Lonchura striata: one gene and its partner. The protein of the gene in region 2 purifies or fractionates together with the protein of the main gene of each other region. This does not show direct contact. Links are inferred from orthologs where the notes say so. Each region holds a gene or a part of one and is shown on either strand. Other genes may lie near its edges.

The links. The genes of interacting proteins can lie anywhere in the genome.
Region 1: the proteins of ANKRD46 (region 2) and ATRN purify together in Homo sapiens (co-immunoprecipitation; 3 studies listed by BioGRID and IntAct, with this or other methods). This does not show direct contact. The link is inferred for Lonchura striata from reciprocal best matches to the Homo sapiens genes ANKRD46 and ATRN.

What each region holds. Positions count from the first base shown.
Region 1 is NC_134606.1:180,706-188,792, forward strand, and holds the start of ATRN (attractin), read left to right. Parts: upstream 1-5,021; coding exon 5,022-5,326; intron 5,327-8,087. UniProt on the Homo sapiens protein: Involved in the initial immune cell clustering during inflammatory response and may regulate chemotactic activity of chemokines. May play a role in melanocortin signaling pathways that regulate energy homeostasis and hair color.
Region 2 is NC_134603.1:21,600,446-21,608,118, reverse strand, and holds the start of ANKRD46 (ankyrin repeat domain-containing protein 46), read right to left. Parts: upstream 3,084-7,673; 5' UTR 3,030-3,083; intron 1-3,029.

The DNA.
Region 1 (8,087 bases), on a different chromosome or scaffold from region 2:
ACTCCTCTCCTTCCAAATGATATTTCATGTCAGCAAGTTGCTTGTCAATATTTAAAAACAAAAACAAAACAAAACAAAAACCATACCAAAACACCACAACCAAACCAAAAACCTAAACAAAACCAAAACCAAACCAAAACAAAAACCAAGCCAACAACAACAACCCAAAAGTATTTTTTGACATTTTTTGCATGTTAAAATGAGACAGATTGAAGTTAATATAACAGTAATTATCTCCTGCAGCTAATATTTGATACAGACAGTGCCAGGGAGGACAGCATGATCACTAACAAGGCTAGGAAAGGATTTCTTCTCTTGTGCAACACTCACAGATGTTACTCTTCTCCCAAGTATTTGAGATTTGCCACAGGCATCTCTGTTAGGTGCTTTATTGTCAGAATTTGTTGCTTTATTGTCAGAACTCTCTCTTCCTGTTCTCATTCACTGGGTGACCCTTCTTAACTCTTTTTTTAAGTGATTTGAAGTTTGCTTGATAAAAAACAACCATCAACCACTGCACAGATCTAACAATTCTGTCTGGTAGAAAACATTTTTGATTCTCCAACTGCAAAAACCTTTTGAATTGCTAATTTCCCAGGAAAGTTGGGGCTGCCCTATCCCTGGAAGCATTCAAGACTAGGTTGGACAGGACTTGGAGGAATCTGCTGTATGGAGTGGTGTCCCTGCCCATGGCAGGGGGTTAGAATGAGATGAGCTTTGAGGTCTCTTCCAACCCAAACCATTTTGTGATTCTGTGATTCTATGGAATCTGCTGTGGGGAACAGGGTGGGGAGAGATCCAAGGATGGATGGCATCTTGTGCTTTACCCGCCTAGCTGGTTAAAAACCCAAAAAACTGTTGAGCATAGAAGCAGTTCACTAAATCTGATACCAGTGAAGAGAAATTCAACTGATATCTAGGATGGGAACAATTTCTCCAAGTTTATTTCCACCCTTACCCAATGTTTTTACTTTCTGTCCTTTGTGCAACAGAGAGCTATGTTTGGCAAGAAATGGGGGAGCAGATGTTGTGAAAATACAAGTACTGTTATCACTGATAACTGCAAGTGAACAAAAACAGATGTAAGAAGACACAAAGTAGAGAATGGGGGTAAGATTTGACAGCAGATTCCAACCCCAGCCCTGAGCTGGATATATCTGGCTAATCCATACATTGTTTTAGAGCCATGCCAGCAACACTTCCAATGTTTGGAATCTTTTGGCATCACTTAGTGGGAGCAACTTGTGCTGGCAGCACCTGTGTGACTGTGCTGGGTTTGGGTGAGCAGGCTTTGATCCAGGGGTGGCTCCTGTGAGGAGGCGCTGGAGCTTCCCTCCATGTCTGATGGAGCCATGGATGGAGGGTGTGGGGGTGCAGAGATCCACGTACAGCTCATGAACACCCCATGGCAGAGCATGGGGATGCCTGAAGGAGACTGTGTTCCCATGGGAAGCCCAGGCTGGAGGAGAGGCAGAGTGTGAGAAGTCCAACCCCTGAGGAGGAAGGAGCGCAGTGACAGTGTGAAGGACTGAGCACAGCCCCATTCCCTGCCCCCGTGCACCACTTGGAAGGAGGAGGGAGAGAAGCATGAGGGAAATTGAGCCTGGGAAAGAAGGAGGGGTGGGGGGAAAAGTGATTTAGGATTGGAGTTTATTTCTTGTTGCCCTGCTCTGATTGGATTGGTAATAAATTAAACTGATTTCCTCCATCTCTTTTCACCATGACAGTAACTGGTGACTAATCTCTCCTTGCCCTTATCCCAACTATGGGCCTTGCATTGTATTTTCTTTTCCTGCCCAGCTGAGGAGGGGAGTGAGAGCAGTTTTAGAAGGCATCTGGTGTCCAGCCAGGGTCACCCATCGCAGTGACAATCCAAAGAGTAGTGTCATGCACTGCCTGTATCCTGAGCTGACTGAATCTCAGAGCCAGACTGGCTTTTCTGGCAGCACCTTGGGAAATGACTGGGTATCTGAATTCCCAGATTCAGGGCATGCTGGCAGTTGTCTGTGTCCCGGGAATATAGATGTATGTAGAAATAGCCTCTCTGTGCCTCCATTTCTCTAGAGCCTACAAGGAATTTGCAACCTATTTCTCATCACTCACATGTTTTTGGTTTTGGTTGCCTTTGAATACCAGGTGAGCCCAACCCAACAGTTTTAAATTAAACCCAAGATTTCATCCTCCTTCTTGAGGCCTCAAGCAGAAAAGGAAAAATCTTCTCTGAGCAGTGGTTTTGCTAGAGATAATTGACTGACAAGAAAAACCCAACCACTCTTCAGAATGTTTTCTTTCCTATCTGCTCAACACCCTTTTGTTGGAATCGGAGGTATTGATGATTCCGAGATTGTAAAAAGTCTCTGTCTTTCTGCCCCATTGCCAAAGAAGAAGCCATAATTTGTCTGTGCTGGTTTTCAAGATTGTTTATTCTTGCTTATGTATAACATGTTCTGCTGCCCTGCCGCAGCTCTGTCCTGCAGGGCAGCGTGTAGGGCTCTGCCCTCAGTGTGATGTTACAAACATTAAATACCAGAAACTCCCTGGGCTGGATTTACAATAATGTGCCAATATCTGTCACCTACGTTGAACAGTGTGTCCCCAGCCTAAACCAACAGAAAAATGCCAACACCACAGTGAGACATGGAGGGCATGAAGAAGGAGAAAAAGGACAAGGCACACCCAATTTCCTCCATCTTGTCCCCTTTGAACCCCTAATCTAGAATCCTAAAATTTTACTTTTGCACCCGTGCCACACTTAATTATTACTTATATCAAACACTCAGAGCTTGTAATTCACCCTGTAAGATTGAAAACTCTTTTCCATGGACAGAGATCAGAGACAGTGTTTCTTGGGGCTCTGTCCAGGGGGGTTCCTGACCCCCTGCCAGGGTCCCAGACCTTCCAGGGCAGCCAGAGGGAAGCCCTGGATTCCCACACCATTTGTTATCCCAGCAACTAATGTAGAAATCACTTAGGGTCCTACTGAAAACCTCCCTCAGACAGGTAAATAACATTTGAATTTCTAAACACAAATGAACTGTTTAAATATGGTGAGCTGGCTATTTCCACCCAGTCTGCTCCGTGTCTTTGCATTACTGCACCTAAACCCTGGTCACCCTTTTGGAGGGAAAAATGTGAATAGTATCTTTTACCCTTTTTTTTTTTCTTTCAATAATAAATTCTCAGCTGTCAACATCTTGCCTCACTCAAAACAATTTGTGTAACTCCAGACACAATCATATTGCTGGAGACAGACCAAAGGTAACAGTTACCCAAGAACTCCAAACACTGTCAGGTTTCTCATGTCTTTTGCATTCTGTTAAAATTTAAAGGTCTGAAATTGTCACCCTTCCTGCTGCAAAGGATATCCTTGCTGTGTCCAACAAAGTTTGCTGTTTTGCCACAAATTCAGAAGAGAATTACTTTTAACTTCTTTATTCTTCCTTACTCAGGCCTTAGCTGTTAAAAATTAAGGCCCAGAAATCCTTGGAGATCACTAGCTTGTTTTCCAGGGTAGGAGGGTATCCTGTTTTTCAGATTCTTTTTTTTTTTTTCTTCTTATACAACTTTCTGATTTTATATCATAAAATCACAGAGTGGTTTGAGTTGGAAGGGATCTTAGATCTCATCTCATCCCACTCCTGTCATGTGGGCAGGGACACCTTCCACTGTCCCAGGCTGCTCCAAGCCCTGTCCAGCCTGGCCTGGGACACTGCCAGGGATCCAGGGGCAGCCACAACTTCTCTGGCACCCTGTGCCAGGGCCTCACACCCTCACACAGAACAATTTCTTTCCATTTTGCTTCCTAGGTTGCTCAGAGGCCCATTCAGCCTCGTCTTGAACACTTCCTTTTCCCTCCCCTTCAGCCTCGAGGCCCACGCTCACAGTGTGTGGGGTGGCTGAGGGGCATTCCCGACATAGGGGGGACACATCCCCACCTCTGGGGGGACCTTTTTGGGCTCACCTGGGGTACAGGGACACCCTGGGATGCTGGTGGGACAGACCCCAATCAACATGTGTCCATCATCCATGGGAGCAGTAGGGCCCAGCATGGGGTTGCTCCATCCCAGGGCAGTGCCCGTGCCCTGTGTGGCACTGCTGGGGCACCTCAAGTGCTGGGGCAGCCCCGAGCACCCAGTTCAGGACAGGCACTAAGGGGCTGGAATGTGCCCAGGGAAAGGAACAACGCTGAGGAGGGCTCCGGAGCACCAAGAGTGGCTGAGGGGCCTCAGCCTGGACCTTGTGGCTCTGCATAGCTCCTGCCAGGAGGGGACAGCCGGGGGGTCGGGCTCTGCTCCAGAGAACAGGGACAGGAGGAGAGGGAACGGCCTCAGGCTGGGCCTGGGGAGGTTCAGCTTGGACACCAGCAGGAATTTCTCCCTGGAAAGGGTGGTCAGGCCTTGGAAGGGGCTGCCCAGGGAGGTGGTGCAGCCTCCATCATCCCTGGAGCTGTCCAAGGAATGCCTGGACGCGGCACTCGGTGCTCTGGGCTGTTTGATAAGATAGGGGGGGGGGGGTGTCACAGGTTGGACTGGGTGATCCTGGAGGGCTTTTTCCACTCCAGTGATTCTGATTCTGCTACTTCCATTACTCCTTTAACTGGGGCAGTGCTCATGTTGTATCTGTGCCAGCCGCTGCTTTCTCACCTGTAATATTTAACTAATGGGGAGCAGTAGAGGGGCTTCAGTTTTACAGCTCAGTTTTAAATTGACTCATTTCCTGGGAAATGCCATTTAATGGTTTGGGAACTGCCATGTGCTTTAAACTCTGCTTGTTAAACTTGGTGAGATGAGAAACTCACCGGTAAGTGAAGAGCTCTGCAGCTGTAGCACCGGACCAAGAACCGCTTCCACTCCCTCTACACCAGAGCCTGCCATTAGTGGAACCGATCCTGTGACTGCGACTCCCCCATCTGACCCCGCCCCGCCGCCATGGCCGCGGCGTGACGTCGCCGGCCCCGCCCTCCCGGTCCCCCCCCACTCGCGGCCACCGTAGCGGGACCGGCGGAGGCCCCGCGGCGGCCGATGGTCCGCGTTGTGCCGCCGCCCCCCGCCCGCCCTGCTCCCACCCGGCAGCGGCCGCAGATGGCGCGGCGGGCACCGGGCAGGCGGGCCGGGAGGTCACCGGCGCCTCCGCCGCCGCCGCTGCTGGCGCTGCTGCTGCTGTTGGTGCTGGGCCCCGCCGCCGCCGCCGGCGAGGAGGTGGCGGTGTCCAAGGAATGCGACAAGCCGTGCGCCAACGGCGGGCGGTGCCAGCCGGGCACCGGGCAGTGCGAGTGCCAGCCTGGCTGGGTGGGCGATCAGTGCCAGCACTGCGGGGGGCGCTTCAGGTGAGCTCCCGCGGGGCGGGGGGCCGGACGTGCCCTGCGGTGGGGCGCGGGGCGCGGGGACGCCTAGGGCTGGGGTGGACGGGGCTGGTTCAGGAGTGAGGGGTTGGGTGTGGGCTACGGGGGTGAAAGGCTGGTTCAAGGGTGAGGGGCTGGTTTGAGTGAGGTGTTCGTTTGGACCGTGGGGATCGGGCTGGGTTGGGGTACGGAGGGGACCGTGCGGCAGCCACGTCAGGGATGGGCATGAGGGACATGGCAAGAGAGAGAGGAGAGGACACAGCAGTGGCTCGGTGGCCCGGGTCAGGTTGCCCAAAGGAGCGCATGAGGGAAATAGGTGGGTACGAGAAGCAGGTTCGGGCACTCAAACGGGGTGGGAGTCTGAGCAGGGTCCAGGGGTGAGTGAGGGCAGTAGGGTCGGGGTGACATTAAAGGTGAGGGGTGGGACCAGGTGAGATGAAAGATGAGCAGCAGATGGAAGTGACACTAAAGGTGAGTGGCAGGTCAAGGGAATGGTGAGGGGCACGCAGGTGATGGTAAAGGTGAGCAGCAGTCCAGGTGATGATAAAAGTGAGGGACAGATGTAGGTGACTATAAAGATGCAGGTGTTAGTGCAGGATAGGACCGTGTTGAGGGGACAATAGGGGCTGGGTCTCTGGGCAGTGAGGGTGTGAGCATGGGGCTGATTAAGGGGAATGTGGGTGAAAAGGGATGGGCAGTAGTCCTGCAAGGGGACAAAAGGGGTTTGGATGCAGAGGGAGAGGTGGGTGTGCGAGAACAGGCTTGAAGGGTGACGGCAGCATAGGTGTGATGGGGTGACAGTGTGGCAGGCTTGGTCTGGAGGTCCTCAGAGGAGGTGAGGGGTTGGGCTTCCTGCGGGAGCTCTCAGAGCAATGGAATATGGATGTTTAGTGCCACAGTTGGTGAATACAGGATGTTTGTTTTGCAGAGCCAACTCTAAGGGGGCTGAATTTTTGGTGTTGGTTGGCTGGGGTTGCACAGGCATAACTGGTGATCAGTTGTGATTCTAAGGGGCTATGTAGGAACAGTGGTTGTAGGGCACTGGATCACTGGGGATCTGGGCGTGATGGATTGCACAGCCAGGAAAATGTTTGGTTTAAATTTTAGTAGATCCAGACAGAAAGTAAAGCTGGAGGGGAGTGGGTAGGGGGATATTTTTTGGCAGTAGGGCTAGGTTTGGGAACTGATAAATGGGAGTGTAAGGATGGTGGGTGAATGGGGGTAGCTTTGTGCGTGGATGTGGCTGGAGTTGGAAGCTGATGGGAGCAGTGAGGAGCAGGTGGACAGAGGAGGACAGCGTGGGTGTGGGGCCAGTTCCTGGGCGGGGAGAAGGACTAATGTGTACATGGGACTAGATCACACTTGGAACAGGTTGGAGGAGAAGGATGTGCAAGTGGGTGTTAGGGCTGTGGGGAGACTCTAGAGGTCTTTGGAGGGGGTTAAGGAAGCTCCTCTTGTTGGCAGATCAGCAGGTGCTGGTTTTGGTTAAAGGCTCTTTCAGGAGAGGTATGTGCAGGGGAGAGAAGCAGTATCCTTATGGGAGTAGCTGGCATTTGGAAGGCTCATCTTCTGGAGCTGTAATGCTGCTGGCTCTTCGGGAGGGGCAGTGGCAGTAGCAGCCTGGTGGAAAAAAGCTCCTGGGCTTGTGGGGAGGCAAGATTGGGCAAGTGGGAGGGGATTGGACAGGATAGAGGGTATTGGGAGAGTCCTTTTTTTGGAGGAGAAAAAGGCTCAAGGAGGGCTCTGGGCAGGGGTATTGAATCCCCTGGCTCTGCATTGGTCCAGGACATGTGCAAACGACTGTGTGTGGGAATGCGGGGTGTCTGCACAGGACAGTGATTTTTGGGCTATATGCCGATAGAAAGTGCATTTCTGCAGTGCTAGGGGCAATTCTTTTAGTGCTGGGTTACTTGGCTGGGTTGTGTGCCTGAGGTGTATCCCACTGGATGAGAAAATGGGAATAGGCTGAACATGCTCCCTGGCTTCCGTATTATGGCAAGGATTTCTGTGAGATGGTTACTTGCCTTGGATTCGTCAGCTGTGGCAGTGAGAGAGCCAGTGTGTGTGTCTGCATGCATTAGGTGAATTCCCTGGCAGGGCTGATTCCTGGAAAAGAAGGAAATAAAAAAAGGATGATTATCCTAGGCAGTGACTGCTTTACTGGGGAGCTACTGAAAACACCAAGCACCCTTCGGTGATGTTCCTTATGAATGTGAGAGGAGGGTAACTGCCTATATAACCTGAACGCATGGAAGAAAAACACTTTAATTTTTTTATTCATATTTATTGGCAATCTGTAGATGAGTGTGTATTGTAAACAGTTTGAAAGGGGTTTTGTATGGAAATGATTCCAGGCTAGGCAAGCCCTGGAAGTCCAAACTGTGGTAGGCACATTCTTCTTCCTCTTAAGATTTTTTTCATAGAGGAGTACAGAGGAAAGAAAGAGAAAACTATTTCTGCTCCTTGTTTTCCTGTGTAGAATGTGTTTAGAAATTTGTTTACCTGGGGTGATTGCTTGTTTGGATTCTGGTGAGGATTGTTTGAGCCTGATGGCCAATACAATCCACCTGTGGCTGGACTTGAGCGAGAAAGTCACGAGTTGTGAGGGAGTGAAATATAGTAGTTAGAAAAAGTAAGTATGTAGTTTTAGTATATCCTTTAAATAGCATATGAATGTATTATAGTATAGTTATAATAAGTAATCATTCAGCCTTCTGAACTAGAGTCAGACATCAGCATTTCTTCC
Region 2 (7,673 bases):
GGCTGCCTTCATCATCTGTTCTGATACCATTTTCTTCACACAGCTACTGAACACAAAGGTCTAAAAAGGACAAACCAGAGAACTTTCTGATTTTTTTTCAAAATTACATACTTGACTCTTCTATTCCTTTTCCAGAAGAAAATTACAGTTCCTAACTACTGAACCATCATTTTCCTGACTCAGTTAATTTTACCCTGTTCTTAATATCTTTATAGTGCAACAAACCAGCTGCAGTTCCTTACGGCCCAGCCTCAGCATGACTAACCCTGTAAGATTACATTTTATTCTGATCCTTTCCTGAAAGGATTGAGAAATAACCTGTTTTGTGTACAAAATGATCCAGTTTCATGTGCCTGAGTCATGTGCCTGTACTCAAATCAGAGCTCCAATGTGTCTTCTTTGGCATCCTTAGTATACTCTAGAAAAACAAACAGAAAAACCAAACAAAAACCCTCCAGCCAATGAACAGAGGGAGTAGACTTAAATCAGAATCAGTCAATTAGGTTCATTTTATACAGTATACAAATAAAACAGCTGAAATCTTTACTAGAACACTTTCTCTGTGGGAGGGGAGCAAGTGGGAGGTAGGAAGGGGGAGTCTTTGCAAGCATAAAGCTGGCTAAAGCAGTTATTTTGCTCCCACACAAAACTCTGACAACTCTACCTCCAAAAATAAAGGAAAAGGGCAGGAAAAGCATGACATGGAATGCTAAGAAAGGGAGAAAACAGCAGAGTACAGTGAAATGTTTCACTGCTGTAAAGGCTGCCAAGAGAATATGTTTCAGAATTGGTTTGGAGGAGAATATGGGCAAGTGGAAAAGATTTAAAACACACCATCCCCTTCTCCCCAGACCTTCTAAGCTTATTTTTCATGAAGAAGAAGTGAATGTAGACACAAAGTCAGTGAAGTATTCACAAGAAAAGTAACCTGCCAAATTCTTAACCTGTTGATTTTGAAGCTGACTTCTAATTTGGTTAAGTAGGCAATGTCATGCAGTAGCTAATCTCATCATTGGCAATCTGGATGTCAGCTGAGCAGCTTTCTTCTGGATAATCACAAATACAATGATCAAACATCAAGCTGTATATACCATAGAACTGCATTTCTCAACTCTGCATTGGGAACTGCACCAAAGGACAGAACTAATGAGATTTGCTGTAAAGGCAAGTAGGTCTAGTGATCTGGAGAGAAAAAAAAAAAGGGGGGGGGGGGAGGGGCTATAAGACAAATGTTTAAACTTTCTTCTGGAAGAACACAGGTTCACACAATAGGTCAGTGCTTGATACAGAGAATAGTGCTTATAGTACAGAGTAAGAAACTTGATTTTTTTTTTTTAACAGGATATGATGAGATAGGTCTTTTGAATGATTACCAGATATGATAATAGTAAGAGCTAAAACTAACAAGTAAGAGATACTTTGAACAACAGACCCAGCAGTCTGAGTTTTCATCTGGTTGCCTAAACTGAATGACAAACTTTTGCACCTGAGTTTTGCAGAGAAGAATAGCATTCAATCAAATGTTTCTTGATAGGCCTTGAGATACAGCTCATTGTGTTGGGATTTTAAAAACATATTAACAGAGATAGGAATCTCCTTTTCTATTTGGTGGTTCGGTATCTGACCAGGAGATGGGAGACCTGGGTCTCTAGCTCAAATGACTCCACAAAACCACACTCTGTTTTTGAAGTCATAGCCCCTAGTTTCATTTCTTTAAAAACCCCACATCTTTGATCTGGTTTGATTGTTTTTTAAAATACTGTTTTACCTTTGCTTTGTTTACATTTTTTGTAGAAATTGAAGTTCCTGCATCTGCTTGTCTGTTGTTTTAACCCAGTTCCTCTTAACTTCCTGGACTGCCTTAAAATAATTCTTAAAAATAGCAGAAAAAAAATCAGCAAACATACAGAAACACATAGAAATAGAAAGCTTATTTTGGTTTTTAAACAAAGCTTTTGATTTTAAGACAAGTTCACCCTACACTGTTCTTTCCTCATGAGTTAATCATTTCCAAAGCTGTGTGTAGATGTACAACTCAACAAACCTACAGATCACCTACATGCTCCTATATGATGACAGAGTGCCTACATATTAGGAACATTAGGATACATACATCACTTTGAAAATACAGTGGATAGGTACCTAAATGTGTCCTTTTTGTGAAATATTTTTCCCATGCATAAGCCATAGGTGAGTTAGAATCGCTAATACAACGGTGTGAAGGAGAAAAACCCCAAAACACCAACATGACCCCTATCAACAACAACTATATCCAGCACTTAGAAAAGTGGCACAAATCAATGCCAACAAGAACCATTTATAAATATGTCAAGAATTAATATAAAACATTAAATTATTGTGGAAAGGTAATCTTTAAGATTACAAAAAGTCCTTTCAGTTTTACCTATGTATGTAACAATTTCAGTGAAATTCTACAATCCATCAGCTGTGTATTGAAAGAAGGATCCATAAAACTTTTAAAAGCCAAGGGAAAAAAAGTAATAAAACATGAAGAAATTATTCTGTTGAATGGCTGTTTGGATTTTTTTAGCTAAATAAAATGGAAGTGCAATCCAGAAATATTTCATTACTTAACCAGATTAAAAAACACCAAACCAAAGCACAGATGTAATCTTGAAGTGCATTTTGTACTCATTCTTTACACATTGTAGCAAAATGGAAATAAACTGGGGTCAGATTATCCAATCTCTCCACTGGTTTTGGTGGTACCAAACATTGTTACAACGTAGAACTAAGACTTTTTCCTCCTTTTCTTAAACAACTCTGGGTTTCTCTGCACAGTAGGTGGTAAGGCTCCTAGAGCAGCCACTGCCATGCTGCAACCAACCGCTGTGGAGCTGCATCAGGCTGAGCTCTGTGCAGGAGCAAAGCAAATTGAACACTCAGTTACCCATGTGCCAGGGGCACAGCTGGCCTGAGCCCTCTGATTTAAGCAACCTGGGTAAATCTCCACAACCTTACAACTGGAGCAGTGCAGGCTACATGGCCAGTACGGACGTATTACTCACCCTCCGCTGGGTCTTGTGCCCAGACAGCCCCATTTCCTCTCCTGGGCTTGGAGCAGTGCTGGATGGAGAATTATCTCCTCAGACAGTTTGCCACAGCTGAGAAGCATGCAGCTCTTTTGCTGGACAGCTAGTACTGCAGTTTGTAAAGGCACATAGAGGGAAACAGAAAGATATGTAGAGGCTGAGCTCCAATGCAGTAGATTTAAACCAGACAAGTTACCAGCATCAAAAAACAGGTTTCTGTGCACCTTTCCTTGCTGCCACCAAAAGACATGGTCTGTTCTTCCCCTTCCACTCCATTCATTCATCTGCTGCAATCAATATAATTCACTAAGCAAGCAAAAAGAGATTTCTTTGTTTTCTGTTTCTCTGTAGAGAGAAGTAGACATGAACACAACTGCAGTAGGGAGCCATTAGACCGGCCCTGCTATACTAACTGCCCCCACAGGGCACTCTGACAAATGGGACCTTGGCACCAGGCTCCCATCCCCAGGGTTTATCCTCACCCACAAGTGAGCATTACCATTTGCAGCACAGCAAACAGAACCAGGGGACTGACTCAGGCCAAAAACAGGCCATCAAAGCCAAATCAAAAATAAAGAGACAGTATTTTTAGACCAGGTTAGCTCACCAGTCCAGTTCACCACTCCCACCAGCATCATGGACTAGTAGTCCAAGGAACAAGCAAATGAAAGGGGAATAGTGCTCTGCTGTTTAAGCCTGGCCACTTACTAAAAGAAATGCTCAAGCTATAGCCTCAGGTATTATGCATATTAGTGTATAGAAATAAGCACTTCAGATAAAAAGTAATCCACCTCTGCCCAGAGGGGTAGCTTGCAACTCAGAACTCAAAGTTCTCTTCTATATTGTTTATGGGTGTATTTTTTTTTTGTGACCACTGCATCATGCAAGTATAAATATTAGAAGGCAAGGAGCCACAAAACACCTCTTTATAGTTTCTTAAAGAGAGAGGGAATAAATAGCTAGCTACAATAAAGGACCCTTCAGGGGTACTACAGTGCTAATATTTAAAACATGCAACACCACAGAAACCAGTCAATTCCAATTTAAAATTGGCCTCAGGAAAAAAAAATGAAAAAAAACCAGTCAAGCTGTTGAAGTTTAAAGGCTTCATAACTAAGTTATTCAGGGGATTTATTTCTCTGCTTATAGTAGTTTTCATGCATCTTAGTAGTTTCACTTAAGCTTCTTGTTCACCACTTTCTGACTCCAAGTTTACAGTACAACTCCTTCAAGTTCAGTTCTGCCACTTTTTCACCACTAGGAAAAGAAAAAAACACAGAAACATTTGGTGAAATCTACTGAAATAGCTCAACTACTTTCATGTATCAGTTATTGCTGGCTAGCAATGTGCTGTTAGAGAAGAAAAACAATACAGATTCTGGAGTAAAGTAAGGTGACAAGCTAGTTATCTTCCTCACTTCTCTGAGTCTAAGCTTACAGAACAGTCTAAGCTCTGCTCTGTACAGAACATCTCTACTCCCTGAGATTATGGTCTTCTAGGATAGCCTTCACTCAAAACACAGCTAAGCATGATAGATGTTAAGGGACACAGGGATGGAAACTTCCAGGACTGCTGCTTTTCTGGAACAGATCACCAGACAAGGTGTGTAAAATGTCAATGTACAGCAAGAAAAGCATGTCACTCTTCAAAGATCACTAGTTTTCTGCTTACTTTTAAAAAAAGTAAGTCTAAAGGCCCAAATCTGTAAACATTTAATTCTAAGCTGATAACATTATTCAGCAGAACATCTAAACATACCTTTTTAGGCCTGTGAGCATCTAAGCATTTTTTGGCAGTTGAATGTGGGTTACCTTTGGACTTGATGTATTTGTGAGGATTATCAAAGATACATAGAAATGTAATCAACTGAAAAACTTTTCTATTCTCCTGTGTATCTGATCATATCACAATACAAAGCAAAAATAATTCCACCTGGAACTGCACTGCAAGATACTTTTGAGATGTAGTAACTGCCAACTGCGTACTCAGAGATATCTTTCAAAGCAGAATGAAGAGAGGAAGGGAATAATAAATAAAATAGGCACAGACTGTAAAGTTACTCTCTCACTAAGTAAGCCTGAGCTCCTTAGTAAGTCCAGTAGTAACAGGACCTTCATTTTAAAACATTCAGAAGAACACTAATATCTCTATGCCAATTAATAGACCAAAAAAAGCTAAATAACTGCAATGCTCCAGTCAACAGCAAAGACCATTCACTGTCCTGATGTGGCCTGAGCCTATCCCAGTCACAGGCCTGGATCCTGCCTGTGGAGTTGCGGTTTCATATGTTTTATTACACCTTTATTCTGTCATGGTTTGTTCCAGTGTACCCCCATACTGTATTGGTTTCTCCCTGAGTTTTCCCGCCTTTCCCCAAGTGTCGGTTTCCCTGGAAGGTGCCAAGTCAGTCCCCTGCCCCCTCCTAAGTGCCTTGTCTGTCACTCGGTGCCCCTTCCCCTACCTCTGGAAACTTCCATCCAGGGCACCGAGTGATTGGATGAGGGCCTGGGACCCCTACCCTGTCTCCCCTTCACTGGATCCCCCACATGTCAATCCTCACAAGAGCCACTTCCATATGTTTCCCCACTGTCTGATCGGTCCCCCTCCCTCTCCCTATCTAACATGTTGCCAGCACCCCTCAGTTGCTCTTGTTGGCTGGCCCCCTCCGATGCTGTTGGATCCTCAGGACCTCAATAAACATCGGATTTTTGCCCCCAACAAGTGCCTCTCCTCATTTCCTCTCCGTTGGATTCAGCAGCGACCTCAGGACCCACCAAGCACTCTCCAAAGCCCAGCTGGGTACAGCGGAGGGTGCTTCCACTCGCCCTACTCGCCCCCCAGGAGAGCTAGCCAGGGCTGAGGACAGGGGTCTGGGGCGGGTACGCAGCACCTGACTCACCCACACACCCACCCACATGGGAAACTGGACATCAGCCAATCAATGAGGATCCAAAAGCCTCTTCACATTTATGATCATGAAGACACAACCCTGATTTACAGCTTGCTTAATAACACTGTGGTCAAACTTAAGTTACTGGCCATTAAGAAAAGAAACACATAATGATATAAAGGAAAGTAAGCTAGAGACATTGGTTATAAGTGTAACAAGAGAGCTTCCTGTCCTATGTTAAACTCAGCATGTGATCTGTAAATTAAGAACTGTTTCATGTACGTATGGCCATCTGATTTAATGCCTACCTAGAATACACACCCAATAGTTCCCGTGTGGTAAAGTTGCTATGTGACTTGTAAACTCATAGGGATATTTCATATGTGAAAGTCTTACCCCTACACCACTCTCTCGGCAGACTTTGTTCCCCACTACCAGACTTTCTAACATGTAGGGGGAGAGCGCTCAAGGGAATTTATCAGACCAGATGGGTCTTTTAACTTTAGCAGGATCATGCAAGCCTTGTTCAGATTTCAGATTCAGTCACTGCAGCCAACAACAACAAAAATCCAAGGGGGGGCTAAGTTAAGCACCATGTAAAACTTACCAGACAGAGCTTCATCATCACAATCATGAAAGAAAAATAGGGTAAAAATATTTTATAAATTATCTCAACAGACCTCCCCTCACATAATGTAATATTCGAAAACAGAAAGTCAGAAGCTTCACTAATCATTAGCATGAATAAGGAAGAAGTGCTCAATACCTATTAATGTAACTTAACTGCTTTAAAATTTTCTCTTATGTCCCATTTAACTGCTCATTTAGAATTAGATATAACCACTCTCATATTCCAGCATGTGAATTTATGATGAGTTTCTTAAGGTTCAAAGAAATGTAAAAAGGTAATAAAACAGACTGTTTACTACTGTCATGCATTTATTTCCTAATGCAAGGCGTCTGCCGTGTTATTCCAGATCTTTACTACTAAATCCTCAAATTCTGTTGTACAGTGAGCACTGTGTTCTCTGAGTTAACATTACTCATGAGCATCACAAATACATAATTTTATAGGATTTGTGTTTTTTTTCCAGGCTAATAGAGTTCTCTTGTTTTTCTAGGAAATATCTACACATCCTGCCCTTTAGTGAAAACACCAGTCTTGTAGGATGCTCTATAAAGGCTTCTGACAAGAGCAGACTTGAGCTCTGTGGAACTTTCATTATCAATAATACATAAGGAGGAAAAACCCTATGTGGCTTGACATTTGGGTTTCTTTTAGTCTACTGTGGCTTCTCTACATCTTCTCTGCAAGAGGGCAGAAGTAGCACCAACAGAAAATGCAGACAATATTTGCAGGACCAGCTGCACAATGGGAGAGTGAGGACAGAAAAATCAGGCAGAGGTGAGTCCACTTACTGTGAGAAATGTATTTGTAAGGAATTCTCAAAATCTTGCAGAAAGTTCACACAGTCTTGTACATCTGTATGCAAACACTGAGGTAAGGTGTGCTGACTTAGGAAGGCCATGAAATAAAGATGACATTGTTGAGAGAGAGATTGAACTAGAAACAAGTTTCATCAAGTTTCAAACTATGGCCTTGTAAAAAGGCCAGATATTTTAGAAAATTAGAATGGTGAAAGATGCATTGTAGTGGGACCATGTGGAGTAAAAATATAGGTGATTTGTATTAGCAGCATGGTGTGGCAAAATAATAGGCTGAAAAACA